Linked DNA regions of Bombyx mori. The protein of the gene in region 2 interacts with the protein of the main gene of each other region in a pairwise test. Links are inferred from orthologs where the notes say so. Each region holds a gene or a part of one and is shown on either strand. Other genes may lie near its edges. The genes, in order: E3 ubiquitin-protein ligase TRIM9, neogenin and kalirin.

Region 1 (4,412 bases), on a different chromosome or scaffold from region 2:
TCATCAGCTCATCATCATAATACAAATTTGTGTATAATTTTGTCTTTTTCTTGGGGTCTCAACCTATAGATCATGTTTTTACACCAAATTTCTTTTTTTTTTATTGTGTTTTATTATTTCGATACAAAAAATGGAATTATAGATATATTTTCTTTCTTATTCCTAAATTTGACAAATACAGAATTAAAAAAAATCTATTGGTTCAGTTTGACTACTAGCTCTGTTATATTCATTTTTGAGGACTTAAATTAAGTAGTAATCAGGTTTATACCTTTTTTTTATTGATTCAATTGATTGTATTGGTGTACATGATTGGTGGTTACATTTATTGTATTACCTGAAGAAATGCAGCCTGATCTGGTTCTTTTAATGCTTCAATAGAGAAGTGTAGCAGGGCAGTGGCTTCTCTTAGTTTCTGCGCAGCATGCGAAGTAAGAGATCTCATGTTTGCAATTGCCTGAGATTTGGTACTGCGTGCTGCACGAATTAATTCATCTCGTCGTCTTTCTATGGCACAAGTTAGTTCTGCACATGCATTGTCAATTTGCTTCTCCAATTCCTCACAAGATTCCTGAAAGATTTCTTTATTTTAATTAGAGTATGCTTAGTTGTCATGCAGTTTAAATGCAATTCTTTTGCATAAATCCTGTATATTTTGCTGACAAGCTTTCAATTGTTTTGTCAGTTTATGATACAATGACGGTAAAACTTCATAGGAAAAGTGGCTCAATATAATGTACTCAGCAGCCCAGATGAAAAGTATTTTATTTATTTATTAGATAACAGACAGATTATTTATAGAAGCACAAGAGGTATTGTGAATGATGGTTTCTTAATGATCATCATATCAATAACTATAATGACTTTTGAACTCCTGGTAACCTGATGTCCAGTAGTTACAGATCGATGCCTCCAATGAACACTATTCTAACTCAAAATTTTGAAATTTGCATTTTTCACGCAAATCGCTTCACTATGTAAAAAGTAAAGTAAGTAAAAAGTACAATTAATCATTATTGATGGGGTTCGAAGCAAGAGTAAATCAGCTAGTTACGCAAAAAAAACATAAATATATCTGCAATAATAAAGATTTTATCAACTTTTTTCGTTTAAACGATCCTCCTGTAAATCTACGAATTTGGAGTTAGCGTAGTGTTCATTGGAGGCATCGAGATGCCCTTAGATACCACAGTGTTGTGTACCTTAGTATATAAGTTTGGAGAAGGTTTAGGTTGCTGTTTCTCCAATGTCAGTGCCCTTAGTTGTTTAAATTCTAACTATATTGTATTAAAAAAGCTAATAGAATTAAAGAGGCTAGAGTGAATGATCCATATCTATAATTAGAGGGATTCAAAGGTTTATTTGATAAGTAAAGAATTGATTACATTATATGCACTATTCTGTTTAATTAAAGAATGTGTTTATTTAATAGTAGGATTTAAATATGTCTTAATAATTATTATATTTACTAAGATAATTATTAAGAATATATTTAATATTTAGACTTACATTAATTTTTTCACCAGAAGCTTTTACTTTTTGTATGTGGTCTGTCATGGATTTGGCCTGTTCTGATAAATGCTGCAGGGATTGTGATAATTCAGTCTACAAAAAACAAATAGCATACAAGTAACAAAAGATGCCTGGCCATAATTTTTTTTATTGCCCCTGTAGGCATACAAGCATACGGCCCACTTGATGGTGAGTGGTTACCGTCATCTATGGAAATTAGTAACGCCAGGGGCAGAGTTAACCAGCTTAGGTAGCTGGTTAAGTACTTTTTCTTTGCTAATGAACTTAGATTTCACCAAATTAATATAACAGTAATGGGTAGACTATATATAATAAATACCTTATGAGTCCTTGCTGCTGTTGCTAAAGGTTGTGTTTCATGTATTGAATGTCTCTCAGTAAGACACCGTTGACAGATGGGAATTAAACATGTTACACAATATTGTACTGGAGGAAAACCATGATCAGCGCAAGTAGTCCCTAGAGCCCGTAATTCATGTTGTGCTAATGGACCACGAGTAGGATGCCAGGCATCACGACATGCAGCACAATATCTCACTGAACACTGTTCGCAACGGACAACAGCTGCACGACGTTCTCCTTCACACATTTGACATGCTTCTTCTGCAGGCGGTGCACCAGTGACGCCCCCGAAACGTTCAACAATTGTTCGCATAACGCGAAATGGAGGGAGTCCATCAGCTCCGTTGTCATCCAAGTAAACTAGTTTCCTACACGAAGGGCATGTAATACTGAATGCAGCAGACGAATATGCTGGCACAGCCGGGGTTCCCGCGTAACTATTAGGCCTTGATCCACATACCACACCACTGTCAGTTTCACTCGACACTGATGCTTTATCCGCTTCTTGATAATCATTAGACGACCCTGAACCTTCATTATCGTGAATGTGAACCTGCAACTTTTCTGCACAGACCCGACACACAGCGTGTCCACAAGGTAGAAGCACGGGTTCTCTGTAGAATTCTTTACAAACATTACATCTTATTTCTTCTTCCATGATGTATTTTTAAATTCAACTATCGTTTATTAACTATGTAATGTCGTCATCAAAATAATTTCGTACGAGTTTTAGTCATGATAAGAGATAAAAATGTAGCAATTTCAATAACAAACAAAATACAGTTACAACAACACCGATCAAAAATATCAACTCCAAGATACAATAGTCAACAGACGTCAAAAACTCAAAACCGACCAATTGATAACTTTTTTAAACAGCATGGCTCTGATGCGAGACCTTTAAACCAAGCCGAATGAATAAAATGGAAAATGTTGTGATGCGCCGGTCTATTCCTTTATTATTGGGTGAAATCAGGATGACCAAAATTTATACAAATTTTTTTTTTTGTAGGAACTTAAGTAATAATTGTAAGTAAAATCCGTACATTTTACTGATTCAAATTTCATTGTTAATTTCATTTTATTCGTTACATATAAAATTTTCATTCCATTTCATGCCATAATAAATTTTATACAAATAATTCCACCCTATTGCACACCATTTAACTAGAAAATATCATTAAAACAAAATAAAAAATTATAGTGTACAGCGTCATGCTTTCGCCTTTCCTGTGTACGAAAAATGCAACTATTGTTAAGAAATACAATATAAACCTACCCACGCTTGTGTTAATATTACTTAAGCGCCTTAAGTGCCTTATTCACCATCCATCTTGCTGTACGTCCCGCCAAGGCCATGCACGATGCACGATGCATTTAGCGCTTTATTCACGATCCATCACGGCTGTACGTCAGCTCAAGGCCGCAATTAATAATAATTATCGACGTACGTCAAGCCTATTCATGATCGTTTTGCATCGTGCATCGTGCATGGCCTTGGCGGGACGTACAGCAAGATGGATCGTGAATAAGGCACTTTAAAGTATGTTTCCTCAATGACAACAAATTTTCAACTAAAAGCACCGGGTAACTTTACATTTTATCTCTATTGATTGAAATAATTATGAGTTTAGAAACAAATAAGCTGTTTTTGTTATGTAAACAGTACATACGATGCATTATTTTGAGTGGTATTTTTGGTAAACTGATATAACGCCAAGTTTGCTACACCGTGCATAATATATAAGGTGTGTAATATTTTTTTACGATAGAGTGGATGACTAGGTTATCTTTTTATTCCTTAAATGAGTGGACGAGCTCACGGTCCATTGTTATTAAGTGGTTACCGGAGCCCGTATACATTAGCAACTAAAATGCCGCTACCTACCTTGAGTTATTAGTTTTAAGTCTAAACTTACAGTACAACGGCTGCATTATTCTTCAACCCGATACGCATTACTGTTTCACGGCAGAAATAGGCACAGTGGTGGTACTTAGCCATCCGGGCTCATGACGCCCTACCTTTTTTTTTATTCCTACCTAAGCTGGTAGCCTTGAGAGGCTATTCCAGCGTAACCTAAACTAGTAGGTGAGCTCTCGGGGCTCAAACCTGACGACGTTGCTAACATGAACCCTAGCAAGAGCCGTGCTTCGCAGAATCTACCACCGGATCGGAAACGCGACCCACTGAAAGATCCGGCGAGAAACTCAGTGGGCTGTGTCTGAGAGTTAATTTACTCGTCGAGCCCTTCGTCGCAAGCGACGGGTTCGGCGAGAACGGTGACCGGTGCTTGAAGTACCTAGAAGCACCGTTAGTGGATCGGGAGGATCCGAGATGACGTGTTTTGGGCGACGTCGACTGCTCTCCATTCTTTCCGCAGGATCGGGAATGTAGTTACCAGTGGCCACGATGAGAGGGTTCTCGTGTCGTGGCTTTATCGAAGTGGCGCATCGACGCCGACTGTAGATACTTACTGATGGACTCTAAGTCCAGGTCGTCATGGAGGTCGACGTTCCTGACGAACCACGGGGCTCCG
Region 2 (4,245 bases):
CTCAAGGTGGGTGGCGCATTTACGTTATAGATGTCTATGCGCTCCGGTAACCACTTAACACCAGGTGGGCTGTGAGCTCGTCCAACCATCAAAGCTATAAAAAAAATAAAAAAATCAGAACTCAACCCTCAAGGTGAAAGGCCGCATTTATGTTGCTGCTGTTTATAGGCTTCGGTGTCCACTTAACACCATGTGAGCCGTGCTCTCGTCCACATCGTTTGCAAAAAATTTGTATAATGTAATCTCTTCAGTTTTCGCGATTTCAATTGTCAAATAATCATCTCGCACAGGAATGGCACTTGTGCAATGATTAAGTTAAATAATACATGTGGTTTAAAAACAAAAAACAAAACGGTTAAATAGTTTTTTGACCCTGGTTGATCCTGGTCAGGATATCAGAGCGAACTAACAAAATTATTGTATTGTCTGTAGATACCAGAGTATTTCAGTATTGACTACGGGCACAACACTTGCACTGCATCTAACATACGGTAAGGTTGAATGCTGCCGACCAGAGCGGGATTCCCACTTCTGCTGTTGCGAGAGTCTATAGTTTAGCCGCAGTAAGGAATCGATAATCTATACTTATTTTAACAATATTATAAAGCTGAAGAGTTTGTTTGTTTGAACGCGCTAATCTCAGGAACTACCGGTCCGATTTGAAAAATTATTTCAGTGTTAGATAGCCCATTTATTGAGAAAGGCTATATAACATCACTTGGCACCTTAAATAGCTCCTAAACATTCTATTATTCAAAAATATTTTCACTTCCTACGTAAATGAAGTCGCAGGTAAAATTTAGCGTTATGTCGAAGTAACTATTCCACGCGGAGGGAGTCGCGGGCAAAAGCTAGTTATTCATAAAAACGTAAGGATCACAACCAATAGAGTCGGAAGTCCCTCAGAGTTTCTTATCTCAGGAGAGTGCGCTCCGAATGGGACAGATGATTAGCGATGAATCTTCAGACTTTCCTAGGGCAATAAGACGGCTATAGAATTAACTACCGTGGCGGCCCAATACTGTTCCTTCTGTGAGCATTGCGTTGCCACGGTCAGGGCTACCCAGCCCTCGATTTAGAAGGTATATTTTATGCAATTTCTTTAATTCAATACAATACAACTGTTAGGCACTGTAGGGCCGAATTCGTGCGCCTTTTACACATACATAATACACAAGGAATTTAAGCTAAGTACACACGGCTTCTTCATAATACAGTGCTGTATGTTTTCCTTCTCTGCACATAATATCGGTTTTATTGTTATTTAAAACCGTAATATTATTTATGGTCATTATTATTGGGGAGTCCAACACTCATATAAATATTAGCCTATCCATTAAGTACATATATTTTCTACATGGATACCAAGCTTCAAGTCAATCGAATGCATGGTTCAGTAGTATAGATTAATAAGACAACTCCATTTAGCCAAGAAATGGCCAACTCTCTCAGTTGGCGGCCGACCCACAGCGGAGCCCTGACGACTACAATAAAATCACCAAAAGCCCGGTCGGTATTCACGCGAGCACGACCCGATACTAAATCCTGTTTACGAAGTGTTATTATTGAAAATTTCTTTGTGCAGCGGTTTAGAGCACGGAATATGGACACACTTTATTCCCGTGAGTTTTTGATTTTTATTACACGATGTTATTTCTTCACCGTGGTAGTCAATCGTGAACAATTGTGGAGTACGTATTTCATTAGAAAAATTGGTACCCGCCTGCGGGATTCGAACACCGGTGCATCTCTCGACACGAATGCACCGGACGGACGTCTTATCCTTTGGGCCACGACGACTTCAAGTCATTGCAATTTTAGTTGCATTAATTTATAAAATATGTACATATTTATAATTTTATCTCATAAGATCCCATATATCGCGATCACATATTGAAAGTTAATACTTTTTGTTTTTTCAGCCATTAATTGTCGAGTGTGTGTTACAATAGGTATCCCGTCCGTGTGTTGTTGGAATAGCCCCTTATACTACCAGCAAATAGGCAGGTAAAAGTTACAATTTAATAAAATATACGAGACGTTGGATAAGTATAATTATGTATGTAGTAATACTAGTACAAAATTATAAAGTTAAATCAGAAAAATCCAAAGGATCGAATAAAATTATCCAGAGAAAAAAACAGAATAATTAAAAATAACAAAACTTCACTTTTGACCGTAAAACAGAAAGTATTATTGAAGAAGACATATTTTCTATTAAAAGTTCATAACTTTAGTCCAAAAGTAATAAAATATATACCGCGCCCAAGCCGTACACATCCTCATAAATTTTATTAACAACCGCTCTAAAAGCGTCAGAGAGACATAAATACTTACTAAACTTAAATTAGGTAGATTTGCAAGATAGTAAATAAAACGCTTCAGAAACTAAATCCAAATGTAAATAATTTCCTTATTTTAAATGACTTATGCCAAAGTTCTCGAATATTTTAACTTGGCATGTGCAGGCAAGCTCACAGTTACTTGAAGACAATGGATCGATAATAAATGCCGTATTTTACATGAAAGGAGCCTACCTTGAACGTATGTAAACAAATGTAGCGACAGCCACAAGAATATCCAGTTTCTCACGCCGTAAGCTACGATCCCTGTCCGAAACATGGTTCAAACCAATAGAAGACCACTGCACTAGAGGTTTTAATTCATAACTATCACATTTTCACATAAAATCAAAAATATTTATGTTAAAGTTCACAGATAACGAATTCGGAGCGATACTACGCGATCCGCCATTTTCATGTCCACTTACGTTCGGAAACAATTCGATATTGAAAGGGCATTGCCCGGGACGAAACGGAGCGCCCTGAAGTTAGTACACTTCGTTGATTTCTGTCAAACGAGAAATGGAATTGGCAATGGAAATTCTGACATACAATATGAAATTCGAAATCGCTAGGAGACAAAACATTTAAAAAATAAATATAATCCGTGCCAACCAAAAATACGTATAATCCTTTTATCATTCGTTACATACAATTGGTACTTCCACAAATAAATATATAAATTCAGATCCAAGCAATAATAAAACGTTATTGTCATTTTGACACATTTTAAAAACTGACGTGATAGGTATCAACAAATAAAGTTTTTGCAATCTTATTAACTTCAAATTTCCAACCTGCTTTACATGCGTATTTTAATAAACATTAAACATTTCGTTCACAAATCGCTAACCGCAGTCCGCGGTAGTTTGTAATGGAGCTAATATACTCTATGAGACGCAAGCCACTTAAATGTGAACCTCCGCACTTCGAAAAGTAAATAGTTTAAATTTATATCAAAAGTTTATATTTCTATCCAAATTTACTAAAGTTTACAAATTCTTCTTCTTCTTGCTTCGGTTTCCTCAATACTGAGGGTCGTGACCATCTCCTCGCAACAAGAGTTTACAAATTAAGATATCTTTAACGGCAGTAACATCAACTTATTTTTTAAGTTACCGTTGTTCATGATGCCTTCCATCATAAGAAAACACTAAAAGGATAAAAATAACAAATTAAGGAGAAAAGTAATAGGAGACTGCTCAGCTCATGGATGTATATTATAAAAAGAGCTGACTTTAGAACTTATCACATCTACATAAAATTCAAGTATTTTAAAATAGTCCCATGCGTTCTGTGTTCTGTTTGTAAAACATTATTTCTGTTTCTTGGTGTTACATAAACTCAATGCTTAATAATGTTGTCTATTTCTAGTGTAAAAGACTCTGAAGTAGTCCGACCAATATGTACAATATCATGTGCAAATATCATAGCATTCTCATCACCGACAGAGCTTAGTGATGTGGACGGAGCAACATGGGGAGGTCATGTGTATGTATGTGACTTAGATACCCCATGGAACAGTCACAAAGTTACAAGTACAGCTTATCCTGTAAGTGTGAAATAGTAAAAGTATAATGAAACTATGTGATACAGATCAGTTATTCAAAAGTGGTATAATTTTACAACCAAATGAGCTCTTTATGTATTAACACTATTAATGAGTTTCCATATCAAATAGTAGACTAGAACCCTATGTGGCCAGGTTTTGTTCGCATAAGTGAACAGACCAGCTCACTCACCAAGAGTTAAACAATTACGGGAGATGATAAACAGTGTCAGATGATCGTCATTGCCTACCATCATTATGTTGGAGAAATATTCAGTGAGACTCTTTAAACCTTACACACATCTACATTAATGCTATCAAATGTCAATCTGTTCATATTATCAATATTTTAGG
Region 3 (3,656 bases), on a different chromosome or scaffold from region 2:
GCTTATGTCGCATGGTGGGTGGCACATTTACGTTGTACATGTCTATGGGCTCCAGTAAACACTTAACATCAGGTGGGCTGTGAGCTCGTCCACCCATCTAAGCAATAAAAAAAAAACTTCTGCCTTCACTGTCGTTACACAAATACCGCTCCTCACCTCAGTGTAGGCCTGACACATGTGTTCGTAAAGTTGGCGATGTCTCTGGGCGTGTTGTTCTAATGCCCTCGGATCGTTACAAGGCGCTCCTCCTTGACCCGTTGCTAGTTGTAGAGCGACGGCACACTGCGCTCCCCACCCTCCCACCGCTGAAGCGTACGCCTCAGCTTTATGATGAAATACCACCGACAGTGACAGCACTGCAGAACGTTCTTCAAGACCTTGAGAATATTATTTTATTAAATCTCATTTATACTGATACAATATGAGACGGTAAGTAATATAGATTATATAATATATTCATGTTATAAATTTATCTGTCAATCAACATAAGACCAAAGTTCACTACTGTTCAAATTTTTACTGGTGGTAGGTAGGTCCAACCATTCAGCCCATTCCTGTCGTGAAGCAGTAATGCGTTTCTGTTTGACGGGTGGGGCAGCCGTTGTAACTATACTTGAGACCTTAGAACTTATATCTCAAGGTGGGTGGCGCATTTACGTTGTAGATGTCTATGGGCACCAGTAAGCACTTAACACCAGGTGGGCTGTGAGTTCGTCCACCCACCTAATTAATAAAAAAAACACATTAAAGCCCGTAGACAATAACATGAATACCCTTAAACGCTTTTATACATGAGGTTAACATCTAGATAGGTGTTAAAATAAAGGTATTTTTCTGCTTCGAATAAAATAGAAAATGGTTATAAAAAACTGTCAATTAAAATTATCTTACCGGCTGCCAACTGTTTGTAAGCTCTTTCGAGTCTTTGTGCTAATGCTGATATCTGACTTTCAGCGTAATGTCTCTTGTCAGCGAGACGTCGCGCGGCTGTCGTCACACGTGCGACACTCGGCCTTCCGCCGCTAGTACACGCCGCTGCAAATCTAACACGTATCCACAATTAAAACATCACAAAACCTCAGTCGCATATTCATTTTAAGCCTAACACGAAATTTTCAAATTGAATTGTGAGTTTTACTTTTAATTAAACATTACTTTAAAATGCTGATTGATACATTTTAATTCAAGGTAACGGTCTTTTTGCAAGATCGATAACATATTTATCGTCATTAAGACTTTTCATATTGAACATTTCAAATCGCAATTGTTCCAAATGCATTATAAACATTTTGGCGATAAACTAAATCCATACTGATTCTAAAAATAGAGTCTAGATCTTACGTAATGAGCAAAAAAACTACAAAGGATTAGGAAGAGGTATTCAATTGATTTTTGCAAAATTCGATACGTCCTTGTGCATCTAATGTCTAGACTTACCTAGCGTGTTCTTCCTGTAAACGTTTTGCGGCCGCACATGACCGTCCGATCTCAACGTACGTGGCTAAGAAGGCCGTACGGTGGTTCACGATCCATTCCAACATCTGCGCATTTGAAACATTATACTAGTACTCATTTCTTACAGTGTTTAAAAGTGAATACCAATTATGGTGAAAAATCTTTAAGACCGTTGCGATTTTAAAGTCGATAAAACGAGGAATTATCACAGAAAGAGTGAAACACTATAGGATTTCAGACTACGAGAGAATGATACAATTCTTCTGAAAGTTGCACTTATACAGTGCGTGCAATGAATCTTTATTTTTATTCATAATCATGTCGCCTTTTCGCATTAAAAGTGTACAATCTCCAAAGAAAATTTTTGTATTGAGTTAATATGCGTAAACATTTGGTATCACCAGTATTTTTCTGATAAATACTGTCAAAAGAGCGTAGTTTAGTTTTAGTTTACCTATGTTTTGACTACTGTTAACAAAATTAATACATAATTTTATCTTATTTAAAAAACAGATAATGTAACTGAAAAAAATAAAAAATTAATATTGCAAATATGATTAATATTAAAAATATTACATATGAGTCGACTATTATCAAAGCCGGCAATGTGACTTTTGGACAATCATTGGAAAATCAGAAAAACGAATTATTGACTTTGTATTCCATTGGCAGTCACAAAACTCTTCTGAACGACATCTTAGATAAATAACAGGTTAACTATTAACCTTTATTTAATGCAGGTTTTGAACCGTATTCTTTGAAGGAGACGATTATATTCAAATCAATCTGAATTGACATATCAATAATTATTTTTTGTCCAAATACATAGATTTCCACCTTTGATAATAGACGACTCATATTAAGCCTTTAAAAACACTTTCTTGTAAAATTAGTAAGTTTTGAGATTATACAGTTTTATTGCGAGAAGACGATGTGCGTTAATTCAGGTATGAAATATTCAAGGGTAAATACGTTACAATTAGACCTACAATTTAACTTTATAGCTGATAAAAGAAAATTACCTTCTCGCAGTCTTGTTCAAATAATCTGAGCTGAAAACACTGATCTAGCTGCATTTTTTTGTGTTGCCAAAGTTTATGGGCATGCGCATGCGCGGACCGCACAGCCGAAAGTTGAGCTCGCACGGCGCCCGGCGATCCGCAGTGGAAAGCAGAACCTTCGGCGCCACTACCGCTAGCTTCGGAACACGCGGCCTCCGCCACTTCTAATCGTTGTAACACCCTCTCACCTGTTTACAAAGTATATATTTTCAATATGTTTTGAACACATTTTAAGATTACAACTATGTTTGGCATCATAACAATATCATATTTACCATATACATATTATTTAAGAAGTACAGATCAAGACTTCAATTATCAATTAAAAAACCGATGAAAACATGTAACTTTCAAGATAAACAAAATGGAATTTTCGACATACCATTTTTTAATCCAATACCATTTTTATTTGAATACCAAAGACAATCAAAACACATTGTAAAATTCAAAACAAACTATAATAGCACTCCTTCGCTTGTTATAACACCGCTGTTTGTGAAGTAACACTGAAACTCAACAGTTATTCAATCGACCGCCGACGGCAAACCATTCAACCGTGGGACAACAAATAAATATCTTTTTCCGCTGTTTAACCATTTTCTAAAACAATTCATTACATTAAACTAATGCAACAAGTTACTCTGCTGCCTTCAGTTTAAATTTTATTTAGACAAATGAATAAATTAATAACGAAATTTTATGCACTTTTATTAAAGTAATAGTTAGTGAAGGTAGTTTAACATTAAAGAAACATTAAGTTATCGAAACATTAAGTTAAGATGATAAGAAATTTTCTTACGTCCATTTTTAACGTTATTGTACAATTCAGTCGTCTCATCAAAAAGTGTTGTAGCTCGTGTAAATCGTAATTATGATGGTGCCATTTTATTTTTGTTTTTGCTTTCGGAGAAACTGAGCCCACATCCCGCGTAATTATAAGTGATTACCGTTGCTCGTGATGGCATTACAAAGTCCGATTATAGGTTTTGTTTGTGGCATTTATGTAAACATTCGGTAATGTAACTCAATTACGATGTAGGGATAATTCCCGGTCTTAGGTAGCCAGTGACGTAAGAGTAAAATTAGATGATATCGGATACCTCAAGCAACTCGTTGCAACAAGGTCATTTGCTATACCAT

The links.
Region 1: the proteins of neogenin (region 2) and E3 ubiquitin-protein ligase TRIM9 interact in a two-hybrid assay, tested with the Caenorhabditis elegans proteins (2 studies listed by BioGRID). The link is inferred for Bombyx mori from reciprocal best matches to the Caenorhabditis elegans genes unc-40 and madd-2.
Region 3: the proteins of neogenin (region 2) and kalirin interact in a two-hybrid assay, tested with the Caenorhabditis elegans proteins (2 studies listed by BioGRID). The link is inferred for Bombyx mori from reciprocal best matches to the Caenorhabditis elegans genes unc-40 and unc-73.

Annotation. Positions count from the first base shown.
Region 1 is NC_085118.1:10,863,308-10,867,719, forward strand, and holds the start of E3 ubiquitin-protein ligase TRIM9, read right to left. Parts: upstream 2,814-4,412; 5' UTR 2,534-2,813; coding exon 1,853-2,533; intron 1,606-1,852; coding exon 1,510-1,605; intron 572-1,509; coding exon 338-571; intron 1-337.
Region 2 is NC_085108.1:233,651-237,895, forward strand, and holds the start of neogenin, read right to left. Parts: upstream 2,923-4,245; 5' UTR 2,623-2,922; coding exon 2,538-2,622; intron 1-2,537. Other genes in the region: mediator of RNA polymerase II transcription subunit 16, read left to right, coding at 3,217-3,278, 3,717-3,894.
Region 3 is NC_085107.1:16,321,865-16,325,520, forward strand, and holds part of kalirin, read right to left. Parts: intron 3,139-3,656; exon of another isoform or gene 2,954-3,138; coding exon of another isoform or gene 2,899-2,953; intron 2,705-2,898; coding exon 2,478-2,704; intron 1,542-2,477; coding exon 1,438-1,541; intron 1,044-1,437; coding exon 892-1,043; intron 378-891; coding exon 157-377; intron 1-156.